Linked DNA regions of Oryctolagus cuniculus. Each later gene encodes a partner of the first gene's protein in a complex. Links are inferred from orthologs where the notes say so. Each region holds a gene or a part of one and is shown in the gene's direction. Other genes may lie near its edges.

The links.
Region 2: the proteins of DBF4 (region 1) and CDC7 are in contact, whole or in part, in a crystal structure (PDB 6YA8), measured with the Homo sapiens proteins. The link is inferred for Oryctolagus cuniculus from reciprocal best matches to the Homo sapiens genes DBF4 and CDC7. Residues at the interface, in NP_006707.1 of Homo sapiens: Thr210, Arg211, Thr212, Gly213, Arg214, Leu215, Lys217, Pro218, Phe219, Val220, Lys221, Val222, Glu223, Asp224, Met225, Ser226, Gln227, Leu228, Tyr229, Arg230, Pro231, Phe232, Tyr233, Leu234, Leu236, Met239, Pro240, Ile242, Asn243, Tyr244; in NP_001127891.1 of Homo sapiens: Asn56, Val57, Phe58, Ala77, Gln78, Leu79, Gln80, Ile87, Ile93, Pro94, Thr95, Ser96, His97, Pro98, Ile99, Arg100, Ile101, Ala102, Leu105, Gln106, Thr109, Lys121, Tyr122, Cys123, Phe124, Arg125, Asn127, Asp128, Val130, Leu143.

What each region holds. Positions count from the first base shown.
Region 1 is NC_091447.1:47,448,067-47,453,748, reverse strand, and holds the end of DBF4 (protein DBF4 homolog A), read left to right. Parts: intron 1-61; coding exon 62-186; intron 187-2,638; coding exon 2,639-3,608; 3' UTR 3,609-4,019; downstream 4,020-5,682. UniProt on the Homo sapiens protein: Regulatory subunit for CDC7 which activates its kinase activity thereby playing a central role in DNA replication and cell proliferation. Required for progression of S phase.
Region 2 is NC_091438.1:79,102,512-79,108,950, reverse strand, and holds part of CDC7 (cell division cycle 7-related protein kinase), read left to right. Parts: intron 1-2,409; coding exon 2,410-2,503; intron 2,504-2,588; coding exon 2,589-2,731; intron 2,732-3,190; exon of another isoform or gene 3,191-3,707; intron 3,708-4,234; exon of another isoform or gene 4,235-4,307; intron 4,308-5,880; coding exon 5,881-6,130; intron 6,131-6,439. UniProt on the Homo sapiens protein: Kinase involved in initiation of DNA replication. Phosphorylates critical substrates that regulate the G1/S phase transition and initiation of DNA replication, such as MCM proteins and CLASPIN.

The sequences.
Region 1 (5,682 bases):
AAGGGGGCATCTCTTTATTTAGAAATATAATTTAATGACATGTTTTTTACTTTTGTTTTAGCATCTCCTAAGTGAGCAACACAGAAGCTTTGCACAGAGTAATCACTATCAAGTTGTTGATGATATCATATCCAAGTTAGTTTTTGATTTTATGGAATATGAAAGGGACACGCCTAAAAAAAAGAGGTAATTTAAATCCTACTAGAATATTAAACTGTTTGATTAACCTGAAAATAATTCCAAAGTTTGCCTCTTTTTGGAATTTCTACTTTGAGAATGTGCATATGGTCAATAACTAATAACTTCCCTTCTCTCCTCCCCCTGCTACCTAACGTGCTTACAGCAGGTTATTTATAGTCTCCTTCTTGACACTGGCATTTAAAAGAAGGTTGGTAAAATTTTTTTCTGAAGAGCCAGCTGTTTTTAAGGTCAGAGCCAGCATCGTGACAACAGGTAGTTGCCGCCTATGATGGCAGCATCCCATATGGGTGCTGGTTTTTTTGCTGCCTGCTTCACTTCCCATCCAGCTCCCTGCTAATGGCCTGGGAAACACAGCAGAAGATGGTCCAAGTGTTTGGGCCTCTGCCATCAGGTGGAATACCCAGATGGAGTTCCAGGGTCCTGACTTCAGCCTGGCTCAGCCCTGGCTGTTGTCATTTGGGGAGTGAACCAGCAGATGGAAGATATCTCTCTCTCTCTCTCTCAATCTCTCAATCTCTCAATCTCCCTGTCTCTGTAACTCTGGCTTTCAAATCAATAAATAAATCTTTAAAAATAAAATATAATGTTATGTGAACCATAAGATCTTTGTTAAATATTCAGCTTTTATGCCACAATGGGTGTAGCTGTGTTGCAGTAAAACTTTATTTAGAAAATAGACTGAAGGCTAGATTTTCCCACAGTTTGAATAGTTTGCTTACTCTTAGTCTAGAACAATAAAGTTTACCTTCTATTTATAAGAGGCTTGAAACTTTTAATTAATTTTAAGGGATTTTAAGGAACCTTCTTTAACCTTCCTCTATGAAGCCTTATTTTTTACTTTCACTAAATAATACACTCTCTTTGCTGGTAATTACTAAAGGTACCAACAGGATTTTTTTTTAATTATTTTTTAAATTTTTTAAGAAAGCTTTTATTTAATGAATACAAATTTCATAGGTACAGCTTTAGGAATATAGTGGTTCTTCCCCCTATACCCACCCTCCCACCCCCACTCCAATCCCACCTCCTGCTCCCTCTCCCATCCCATTCTTAATTAGTATTCATTTTTTAATTAACTTTATATACAGAAGACCAACTCTATTCTAAGATTTCCAGTTTGCACCCACACAAACACACAAAGTATGAAGTACTGTTTGAAAACAAGTTTTGTAGTTAATTCTCATAGTACAACTCATTAAGGACAGAGGTCCTACATGGAGAGTAAGTGCACAGTGATTCCCAACAGGACTTTTAACTGAAAATACAGTTTAGTCAATGTACAATGACTACATACTGATTAAGGAAAATGGTCCTAATTAGATTATTATTGAGATTAAAGGGTGATGCTCACTAAATGGATACCCCTGTACCTAGAGTTAGTGATGATTCAATAAGTTATTCTGTCTTTAGATCTATTTTAGACTAATGGTATTTATTTTGATTTATAAAGATACTTATATTAATTTTGACTTCCTGCAGCCTCCCTACACCCCGTTAAAGATTTATTTGAAAGCTGGCAGAGTTAGAGAGGGAGAGACAGAGAGAAGGATCCTTCATCCACTGGTTCACTCCTCAGATGACTGCAATGGCTAGGGCTGGGCCAGGCCAGAGTCAGGAGCTTCATTGGGTCTCCCACATGGGTAGCAGGAGCTGAAGAACCTAAGACATCTTCTGGTGCTTTCTCAGGCCATTAGCAGGGAGCTGGATCAGAAGTGGAGCAGCTGGGACCCAAATCAGGAACCATTCTGATTGAAGGGGCAGACAAAATTGTATTACATTTATCATTATTATTTGTGTTATATATAACATAAAACATAGTTGGTGAGCTGTTAACTTCTGTATTTGTATAGATTGTTTCATAAAACGACCATCACAAGGATATCAAGACACTATAAAGAAAAGGGTTTCAGGTTAAATATGTGCCATCTTTAGAAGTATAAACATTTTAAGTTCTCATTTTATTCTTAAATAATAAGTATTTTCTACCTTTGATTTCTCAATAAATACTCAATTTTCCACAATGCTAAATAAGAAGAGTAAAATATTCATTAATACAAATCAAAAGTACAGAAGTAAAGAAATTTTTCAGAATCATGAGAGCAAAATTAAGAGCAGGCCCAAATTCATTTACTATCATTTTTCTTGACTGTACATGATTAAACTAGTTTTAAGCACCCAGTTCAGGATATTTGATAACTTTGGGGTGGAGAGTGAAGAATGTGGAAAAGAGTGAGAAGAATTTTCAGCTGTATCTGTAAAGTCTTGATTACTTTAAAAACATCTTAAAAATAAATTAGACAAAATGTTGAGTTCTGTGCTTTTGTGATATTTTCTAAGTTAGGTAGGTTTCTTAAATAGTTTTAAGATATTTTTGCTAATTCTGTTTCTAACAAGATTTTGTTTTGATAGCAAATATTTTAATTTTTTTTCTACAAAGAATAAAATACAGTATTGGATCCTTTTCTCCTGTTTCTGCTAATATCCTGAAAAAGACTCAACCAAAGCAAAAGCTACAATTGCAGCATATTTCTCAGAAAGACTTGAGAGAGAGTAAGATACAGGTGATGGAGCAGAATTTCCTGTGTGAAGAAACTCAGGAACCTGAACAAAAGCTTGTGTTGATTTCAGAACCCATCCACAGCGCTTCAAATGAACTGAGAGAACTCAATGAAAAAATGAGTCCTATGTTAAATACAGCTGAAAATGATACAAAACAAAATTTTACACAGCTACCTCCACATAAAAATAAACAGGAATTCATTCTTGACATTTCTGATACTAAATTAAGTAAAAACGACTTAGAAGAGCTAGGGGTAGATCACTGTCCTTGTAGGCTACAGACTTCTATACAAGTTTCTGTTTTCAGTGCAAATAGTGCTGCTCAACCAAAACAGAACTCAGATACTGTGAATTTTCCAACAAAGAATCTGAAGGAAAAGGAACTTCATTCATTACTTGGTCACAGTTCTGATCTGAGAACAATCAACAGTTCACAAGAGCACCTAACAGTTCAGGCAAAGACTCAATCCCCTCATCCTGGTGAAGAACCCAGTGAATGTGACATCAAAAATGTGGATAGTTTACGTTCTTGTAAAATACGTCGAAAAGTGAAAATGTTATTAGGACGAAATAAAAAAGAAAATCTGGAGCCAAATGCTGAATTGGATAAGAAGAGAACTGAATTTCTTATTACACAAGAAGAAAACAGAATCTGTAGTTCACCAGTACAGTCTCTACTGGACTTATTTCAGACTAGTGAGGAGAAGTCAGAATTTATGGGTTTCACAAGTTATACTGAAAACAGTGGTGTATGTGATGTTTTAGATATTTGGGAAGAGGAAAATTCTAATAATCTGTTGTCGATGTTTTTTTCTTCCCCCTCAAATTCTACATTTACTGGCTTTTAGACTTTAAAGGATGTGTATTTTTCGAAAGTCACATAGATCAAATTCTTGAAATCTATTTTAGAAATATATATAAAAATTCTTAGGAGTTTTTGGCTACCTTTGTTTACAGAACCAAATGTAAATATTAATAAAGGTGATGTTTCCAATTTTCTACAGAATTTAATATATTAGGAAAATTATAAACTTTTCACTTTGTCATATTTTACTGTGTTCATAATTATTTTGTGAGAATTATAATGAAAAATATAGTTTGCTGTATGCCACTAAAATTTGAGTTTGAGAATATTAAAAATGTATCAACATAAATTTGGATATTTTAAGTTACACTTATTGTCCATTACAATAGATTCTTATGATAACATGGCATTATTAAAAATCTGCAAATTAAAAACATTTCATGGAAAAGGAAAAGATGTGTTAATTTCTGTTAGAATTTTGGACGTCATTGTGACTCAGTTGGGTCAGGTTAGTGTTTTGTAACTGACAGATTATCTGTAGGGTAAATAGAAGCCATGAAGGAAAAACTTAACCAGCTGCAATGTGGACTATAGCTCTTGTGCTATTCTTAATTATTTACCTTTGGAAATAACTTTGAGAGTAGTGACTCATTATGCTTCTTCTAACTTAGTGTTGAGAGAAAAAGGATGGTATTGAATTGCAGATAGAGTTTTGAAATCTGTATCAGAATTGCTTTGCTCTACCACTTGCCTGTACAATATTTTGGAATAAATACACATATAACAGCAATTTATCTTTTTATCAGAAGATAGAAGGCAATAACAGTGGCATTTTTTCATGGTAGAAAATTGGTGCCATTGAATATCACATGAATACATTGTCACTAAAAATTAACTTTAGTTAACAGTTGTAAATTTTTGAAATCGTATATGGCTCCCAATATAGAATTAGTTGCATACTTTCTTATACATGGAAAGAGCATTTCCATTTCTTTCAGTACACTTGTATTATGTTAACCATTGCAGGTTACCAGTGAGAATACTGGCTTTTCAACAACTTGATTATTCTTACCAGTTCCTTAGGTAGGATCAATGAAAGAGTCTACAGTGCATATAAGCAAAGCTTGTTTTAGTTGTAGATCACTATTGTAGCATTTTCTGTCACAAATGAACATGTGTATCTCTGAATTGATGTCAAGTTTTATAGAGAGTGTTCTAAAAATCTAGAAACTTAGAAAATAATTTGAAGGGTTTTTTCCTTAAGTTAATATCTGTATGTCCCCCAAATCCAGAATAATTAAAAGGTAAACTTGCTATATTAATCTTTGACTCTACAGTGAGTCTCCTCAATTTGCAGTTATGTTTGCACCACAATTATTTGTATCATTTTGCTTCCCTGGTATTTAATGAAGGTGGGGGTGGGAGACTGAAGCTGAACCCTCTAGTAGTTGGTAAATACTTTGGATATTGGACTGAACACTGTAAGATTTTCATAATGAATAATCAGCTTTTACGAAATGTTTAGGTTGCAGTTTGTTTGAATGGTGCTATAAACTGAAGCAGGACTATCACATGGCATTTGCATTGGGTTGCATTATGGGGTGGGTACTCAGCCTATAGGATCAAAGCTGATAGAAATCCAGCATAGTTGCAGCATATAATTGTCCTGGCAATGAGTACATTCACCTAGAGGTCAGTGCTTTTGTAAGTTTTTTTTACCAAGGCCCAGCCTATGTATCTTAGGCATTGTGTCTACCCAGAGAAGATGATTCTTAAAAACTTAAATTAATTAAAAAATTCTTTTCTAGTGGCACTTAATTCTCTAATAGCACTTATAATTATACCTTGGTTTCTATATCCACTCACAAAAGGACACAAGTCTTTAACATAGCAAGGTACCTTCAAAAGTAGGAGTCTACAAAGATTCCTTTGCAGGGTAGATGTGAAACTTTGGGTTCTCTTGAATATGATAGGCTGTGTCAAATGGGTGCAGACGAGTAACAGGTCCCGAGCAAGCATAGAATTTTATGATGTTAACACTGGAGATGGAAGGGAAAATAACAGGGTATCTAATAAACTTTTATTTAAGGGCAACAGGTAGTATAGCATTCAGAGTC
Region 2 (6,439 bases), on another chromosome or scaffold:
GGATTAAATTTGATTCTCCTATATTGATATATGTGTGTGTGTGTGTGTGTGTGTGTGTATGTAGGAACTTTAGGCTTTTTCTAAGCCCCGTACTGTAGTCCATTATTTATCATCTTGTTTGTTGCCCATTGTTCTACTAGATAGTTAAGTTCTCTGAGGACAGAAATTGTATTAATTTTACTTATCATTGCATTCCCCATGTCTAACATAGTGTCTCCAAATAATAGTGCCCACTAATTTCTTATTAAATCAATAAAAGAATGAGCCTGTTTCTTTGATTCACCCTTCTCTGTACTTGGTGTCTCTCTACCCCTTTTTCCTTTCTCTGCATTTCAGAAATGTGCATGCTAAAAACGTCTTCCTCTGGTCTTGCAATGCAGTTGGCAAATTGTCTTTGTGCTCTGCTTTGAACACTATCCTGGTTGCTTTCCTTAACTCCTATTTTGCTTCTTTCTTTCCATTTAATTGCTTTTAGAAAAATTACTAGTTTCCCTGTCACTCCAAAAGCCTTTACTCAGTCCTTATCCTCTGACCTCCATTTTGGGGGCTCCTTTCCAACTCCTTACTTTGTTATCCTTCCTTATTTTTACTTTTTACCATGAGACTTTTTCCAAAACTCATTTTCTCTTCTCTGTTTATGTTCACAGCTTTTGGATATTGCTTCTTTGTAAGTTTTCTCGCTTGACTTCCCAGTTAAGATTTAGTCCTGGGGGCCAGCATTGTGATGTAGCCAATTAAGCTGCCGCCTGCAGTGCTGGCATCCTATATGGGTGCCCATTTGCACTTCCAATCTGGCTCCCTGCTGATGGCCTGGGAAAGCAGTAAAAGGTGGCCCCAGTGCTTGGGCCTCTGCCACCCATGTGGGAGACCCAGAAAAATCTCCTTGCTCCTGGCTTTAACCTGGCCCAGCCTTGGCCATGTGGCTATCTGGGGAATGAACCAGCAAATGGAAGATCTCTGTCTCTCCTTTTCTCTCTAACTTTGTCTTTCAAAGAAATAAATAAAATATTAAGAAAAAAAGATTGGGGCGGGTATTGGCATAGCTGGTAAAGCCATCACCTGTAGTGCCAGCATCCCGAACGGGCACCAATTCATATCCTGGCTGCTCCACTTCCAATACAACTCCCTGCTGATGGCCTGGGAAAAACAGTAGAAGATGGCCCAAGTGTTTAGACTCCTGCCACCCATGTGGGAAGCCAAGATGAAGTTCCTGGCTCCTGGCTTCTGTCTGGCCCAGCCCTGGCCATCACTGCCATCTGGGGAGTGAACCAGCAGATGGAAGATGTCTCTCTCTATATATAACTCTGCCTTTCAAATAAATAAATACATCTTTAAAAAATTTAAAATATTTAGTCCCATATCTAAATTTTTCTTTTAAAATGATGAATTGTTGGTGTTGTTTGTTTGCTTGTTTTACTTAATTTTTTTGGCATCTACTTATTACAGTCAGTATCAAAATCATGGAAATCAACATTATTCCATTTTCCTTACCCGTTAAGAAACATTGTGATTAAGAACATTGGTTAGGAATAAACTAACAGGATTCAACTTGTAACTCAAGGGGCAAGTTTTGGCCTCGTGACTAAGGTGCTGGTTGAGATGTTTGCCTCCGATGTTGGAGTGCGTGGGTTTGAGTCCATCTCCATTGCCAATTGTAGCTTCTTGCTAAAGTGCACCCTGGGAGGCAACAGGTGATGGCTCAAGTGCTTGGGTCCCTGCCACCTATATGCGAGGCCTAGACTGAGTCCCAGCCTGACACAGCCCCAGCCCTTGTAGGCATCTGGGAGGTGAACGAGCTCTCCCTCTGTCTGTATCTCTCTCTCCTGTGCCTCTCTAAATAATTTTAAAAGTTTTTTTTTTTTTTTTTTTTTTTTTTTTAAGTCGTGGCTCCGAGACTTACTAGTTTAATGACCTTGGACAAGTTCTTTAACCTCTCTGTGCCTGTTTCTTCATCTGTGAACATGGAAAGAAATAGTAGCACCTTCCTCGTAGGGTTTCTTTGGAGAGTAAGTGAATTTGTTGTGGTAGATACGAAGTACTTAGATCAGAGCTAGTTGTGTAGTAAGTGTTCAATTAATGTTACCTGGAATGAACGTACTATTCTTACCATCTTATCTGCTACCAAATCTCAATTCATTCTTGTTTATCTTTTCCTTCTTTTTTCGCCACTTCTAATTACCTCATATTTGAATTATTATAGTGACCTCATAGCTGATAACAATTTTTATTTTAAAAGAATGCTTGCTTTCTTATCCAAGTGAGTTAAATGTTATACTATCTTGTGATGATTTAAGTCAGTTTTATACTGCATGCATGCATTGTTAAAGTTATATTTTTTTAAAAAAAGATTAAGCTGTAATGATTCAGTTTGATCTTTCCTCTAAAGCTCACTGAACTTTTTTCCACTAGGGGGCAAGACAACGTCATGGGAGTTAAATATTGCTTTAGGAAAAATGATCATGTTGTTATTGCTATGCCATACCTAGAACATGAGTCTTTTTTGGTAAGTTTTAATATTTCTTGAATTTTTATTAGCTAAATATTTAATTGAAAACTATCTTATGACCCTATTTATAACTTTATTTTAGGACATTTTGAATTCTCTTTCCTTTCAAGAAGTACGGGAATACATGTTTAATCTGTTCAGAGCTTTGAAACGCATTCACCAGTTTGGTATTGTTCACCGTGATGTTAAGCCCAGCAATTTTTTATATAATAGACGCCTGAAAAAGTGAGTATGAAGAGTTCCTAGATAATACTTTCACTTCAATGAATTTGTGTGATAGGGTCCAGCCCTTAGACATACACTTCAGCAGTCACGTCCAAATCGTTTCTTTCTTTGTGATTAGGAAAGGAAAATGCAGAGAAGATAACTTTGTATTAGTAAAGCAGTGTATATCATTAGAGGAACTGTGGTTTAGAGTAAATAACTCTTAGTTAAGAAACTTATAATCTTTGAATTTACACATGACTTCATTTTTCTTTTCTAATAAATGAGGAATTAAACCACATAATAACCAGTTTCCTGTTTAAACATTAAAGCTCTATTTTTATGTATACTTTTTATGCTAATTATATACATAGAGGAATAAAATAACTTAAATGCTGCTGTTTATATAGTATATCATATTGAATATGGTAACAAGATTAAGAGTGTAACTTGTTTGTTGGGATTTTATAGCCATGATTTTTCTTTTTCTTTTTAAAAATTTTTTTTTCTTAATTATTTTTAACAGATTCAGTGTGCTGTGTAGATAGAATTCTAAGAACATAGTGATATTCCCTCCTTCTCCCTTTCCCTCTCTTTTCCCCTGTCACCTTTCCACCCTCCTTTCTTTGCCCTTTTATTCTTTTTTTTAGTTTTTGAGATACATATTTTAAATTTACATTACAGTAAAAAGGTTTAATACTTCACTGAATAAGAAGTTTAACAAGGTGCTGGCACTGTGGCATAGCGGGTAGGGCCGCCTGCTGCCGGTTCGAGTCCTGGCTGCTCCGCTTCCAATCCAGCTCTCTGCTAAGGCCCGGGAAAGCAGTAGAAGATGGCCCAAGTCCTTGGGACCTTGCACCCATGTAGGAGACCTGGAAGAAGCTCCTGGATCCTGGCTTTGGATCGGCGCAGCTCCGGCTGTTGCAGTCAGTTGGAGAGTGAACCAGCAGATGGAAGACCTCTCTCTCTCTGCCTCTCCTTCTCTGTGTAACTGTGACTTTCAAGTACAAGGAAAAAAAAAAAAGTTTAACAAGTAAAAAGCAAAAAGACCTGAGCTTAGTGTGACTATAGACAATAGCTATACAGAATAATTGAATGGAAAAATGACCATTTCACCCCTATAGAGTAAATTTTTTATTTTTACTTATTTGAAAGGCAGAGAAACAGGGAGACAGAGGTTTCCCATTCACTAGTTTACCCTCCAAATGCTTATAACAGCTGGGGCTGGGCCAGGCCAAAAAACCAGGAGCTGAGAACTTAATCTGGTTCTCCCACATGAGTGACAGGGACCTGGGTACTAGAACCATACCCCTGCTGCCTACCTCGGTGTACTTTAGCAGGAAGCTGGAATGGAGAGCAGAGCTGAGACTTAAACCAAGTACTCTGATAGGGCATGCAAAAGATATCCCAAGCAGCAGCTTAACTTCGGTGCTAAATGCCCACTCCTTTAGTTTTTAAAAATTAAGTCATATGTTAAAACCATTATTTCAACTTCTCTTTTAAACTTGTTTTATTAGAAATTACCTGCTGTGATGCCATCTGTGCCACGATCAGAGAATAAAGCATTGTATTTATATTGCCCCATTAACATAGGCCACTGGAAAAGAGAGAGAAAAGCAGTTGACTGTGGAGTGTGTCATTTCTTTTTCTCTTTTTTGTTTTAAGATTTATTTTATTTATATGAAAGAGCCGAGAGAGGAAGAGACAGAGAGAAACATCTTCAATTTGCTGGTTTGTTCTCCAAATAGACACAATAGTCAGAGCTGAGCAAGACTGAAGCTAGTATCCTAGAAGTCCATCTGAGTCTTCCATGCAGGTGGCAGGGACCCTGGACCCAAACACTTGGACCATCTTCTACTGCTTTTCTTAGGTATATTAGGGAGCTTGAGGGGCTGGCGCTGTGGCGCAGTGGGTTAATGCCCTGGCCTGAAGCACCGGCATCCCATATGGGCACCGGTTAGAGACCTAGCTGCTTCACTTCTAATCCAACTCTCTGCTATGGCCTGAGAAAGTAGCAGCAGATGGCCCATATCCTTGGGCCCCTGCACCCATGTGGGAGACTTGGAAAAGCTCCTGGCTTCGGAATGGCACAGCTCCGGCCATATGGTCAGTTGGGGGTGAACCATCGGATGGAAGACCTCTCTCTCTCTCTGCCTTTCCTCTCTCTGTGTAACTCTTTCAAATAAATAAATCTTAAAAAAAAAAAAAAAAAAGAGCTGGAACAAAATGGAGCAGCTGGGACTTTAACTGGGGCACCCGTAGGAGATGCCAGTATTGCAGTTAGCAGTTTAGCCTGCTAAGCCATAGTGCCAGCTCCTGGAATATATAATTTCTTTTTTTTTTTTTTTTTAAGATTTATTTGAAAGACAAAGTTACACAGAGGCAGAGAGAAGGAGAGAGAAAAGTCTTCCATCCTCTGGTTCACCCCCAAATGGCCTCAACAGCTGGAACTGGGCTCATCTGACCCAGAGCCAGGAGCTTCCTCCAGGCCTCCCACAGGGTTGCAGGGGCCCAGCAATTAGGCCATCTTCTGCTTTCCCAGGCCATAGGAGAGAGCTGAATCAGAAGTGGAGCAGCCAGAACTTGAACAGGCGCCCATATGGGATGGCGGCACTGCAGGTGGTGGCTTTACCTGCTATGCTACAGCGCCAGCCCCTATATCATTTCTTAATTTTCAATTCTACCTTGGTGTTAAATCCTTGCTTTGTAAAATGTATTTTTTTTTCTTGAACACTGTTCTTTCTTTCTTTCTTTCTTTTTTTTTTTTTTTTTTTTTGACAGGCAGAATTAGAGAGAGAGAAAGGTCTTCCTTTTTCCATTGATTCACCCCCCAAATGGTTGCTACTGCCGGTGCACTGCGCCGATCCAAAGCCAGGAGCCAGGTGCAGGGCCCAAGTACTTGAGCCATCTCCACTGCCTTCCTGGGCTGCACCAGAGAGCTGCACGGAAGAGGAGCAGCCGGGACAAAATCCAGCACCCCAACTGGAACTAGAACACGGGGTGCCGGTGCCGCAGGCGGAGAATTAGCCAAGTGAGCCGCGGCACCAGCCGGACACTATTCATTCTTAATTGATCCTGAAAAGAATTGTAGTTTCTGTATGCATGTGGTTGAGAGTATTGAAAGCTTTAATTGTTAAAAAGGAGTAAAAATGCTTAATTTTGTTTCTTAGGTATGCCTTGGTAGATTTCGGTTTGGCCCAAGGAACTCATGATACAAAAATAGAGCTTCTCAAATTTGTCCAATCTGAAACGCAGCAGGAAAGTTGCACCCAGAACAAATCTCATGTAATCATGGGAAACAAGATTTCATTGAGTGGCCAAGCACCTAAGGAACTGGATCAGCGGTCTCCCACCAAAACATCTATCAAAAGACCCTGCACAAATGCACAAATTCAGATTAAACAAGGAAAAGATGGAAAGGTCCTACCTGTTTTATTTCTTAAGTAGTAGCATTGTTTTAGAAATGTATTCTTTCATCCAACAAAGGGAGATATAACACTGAGATGGTATTTGTAATTAAAAAACCATTTTTTAGCATCTTTATATTTGCTTGATTATATTTTCACTGAGACTTGTTTAAAACTGAAACTTACTTTTTGATTTATGTTTTTGTCATTCTGTATTACAAAAATTGTATGACAATAGAAAATAGGTCATTTTCCCTTGCATGTTACAAAGTTTGGGTTAATTACCCTTTTTAAAAGAAAGTATTAGTTATAGGGGAAAAAT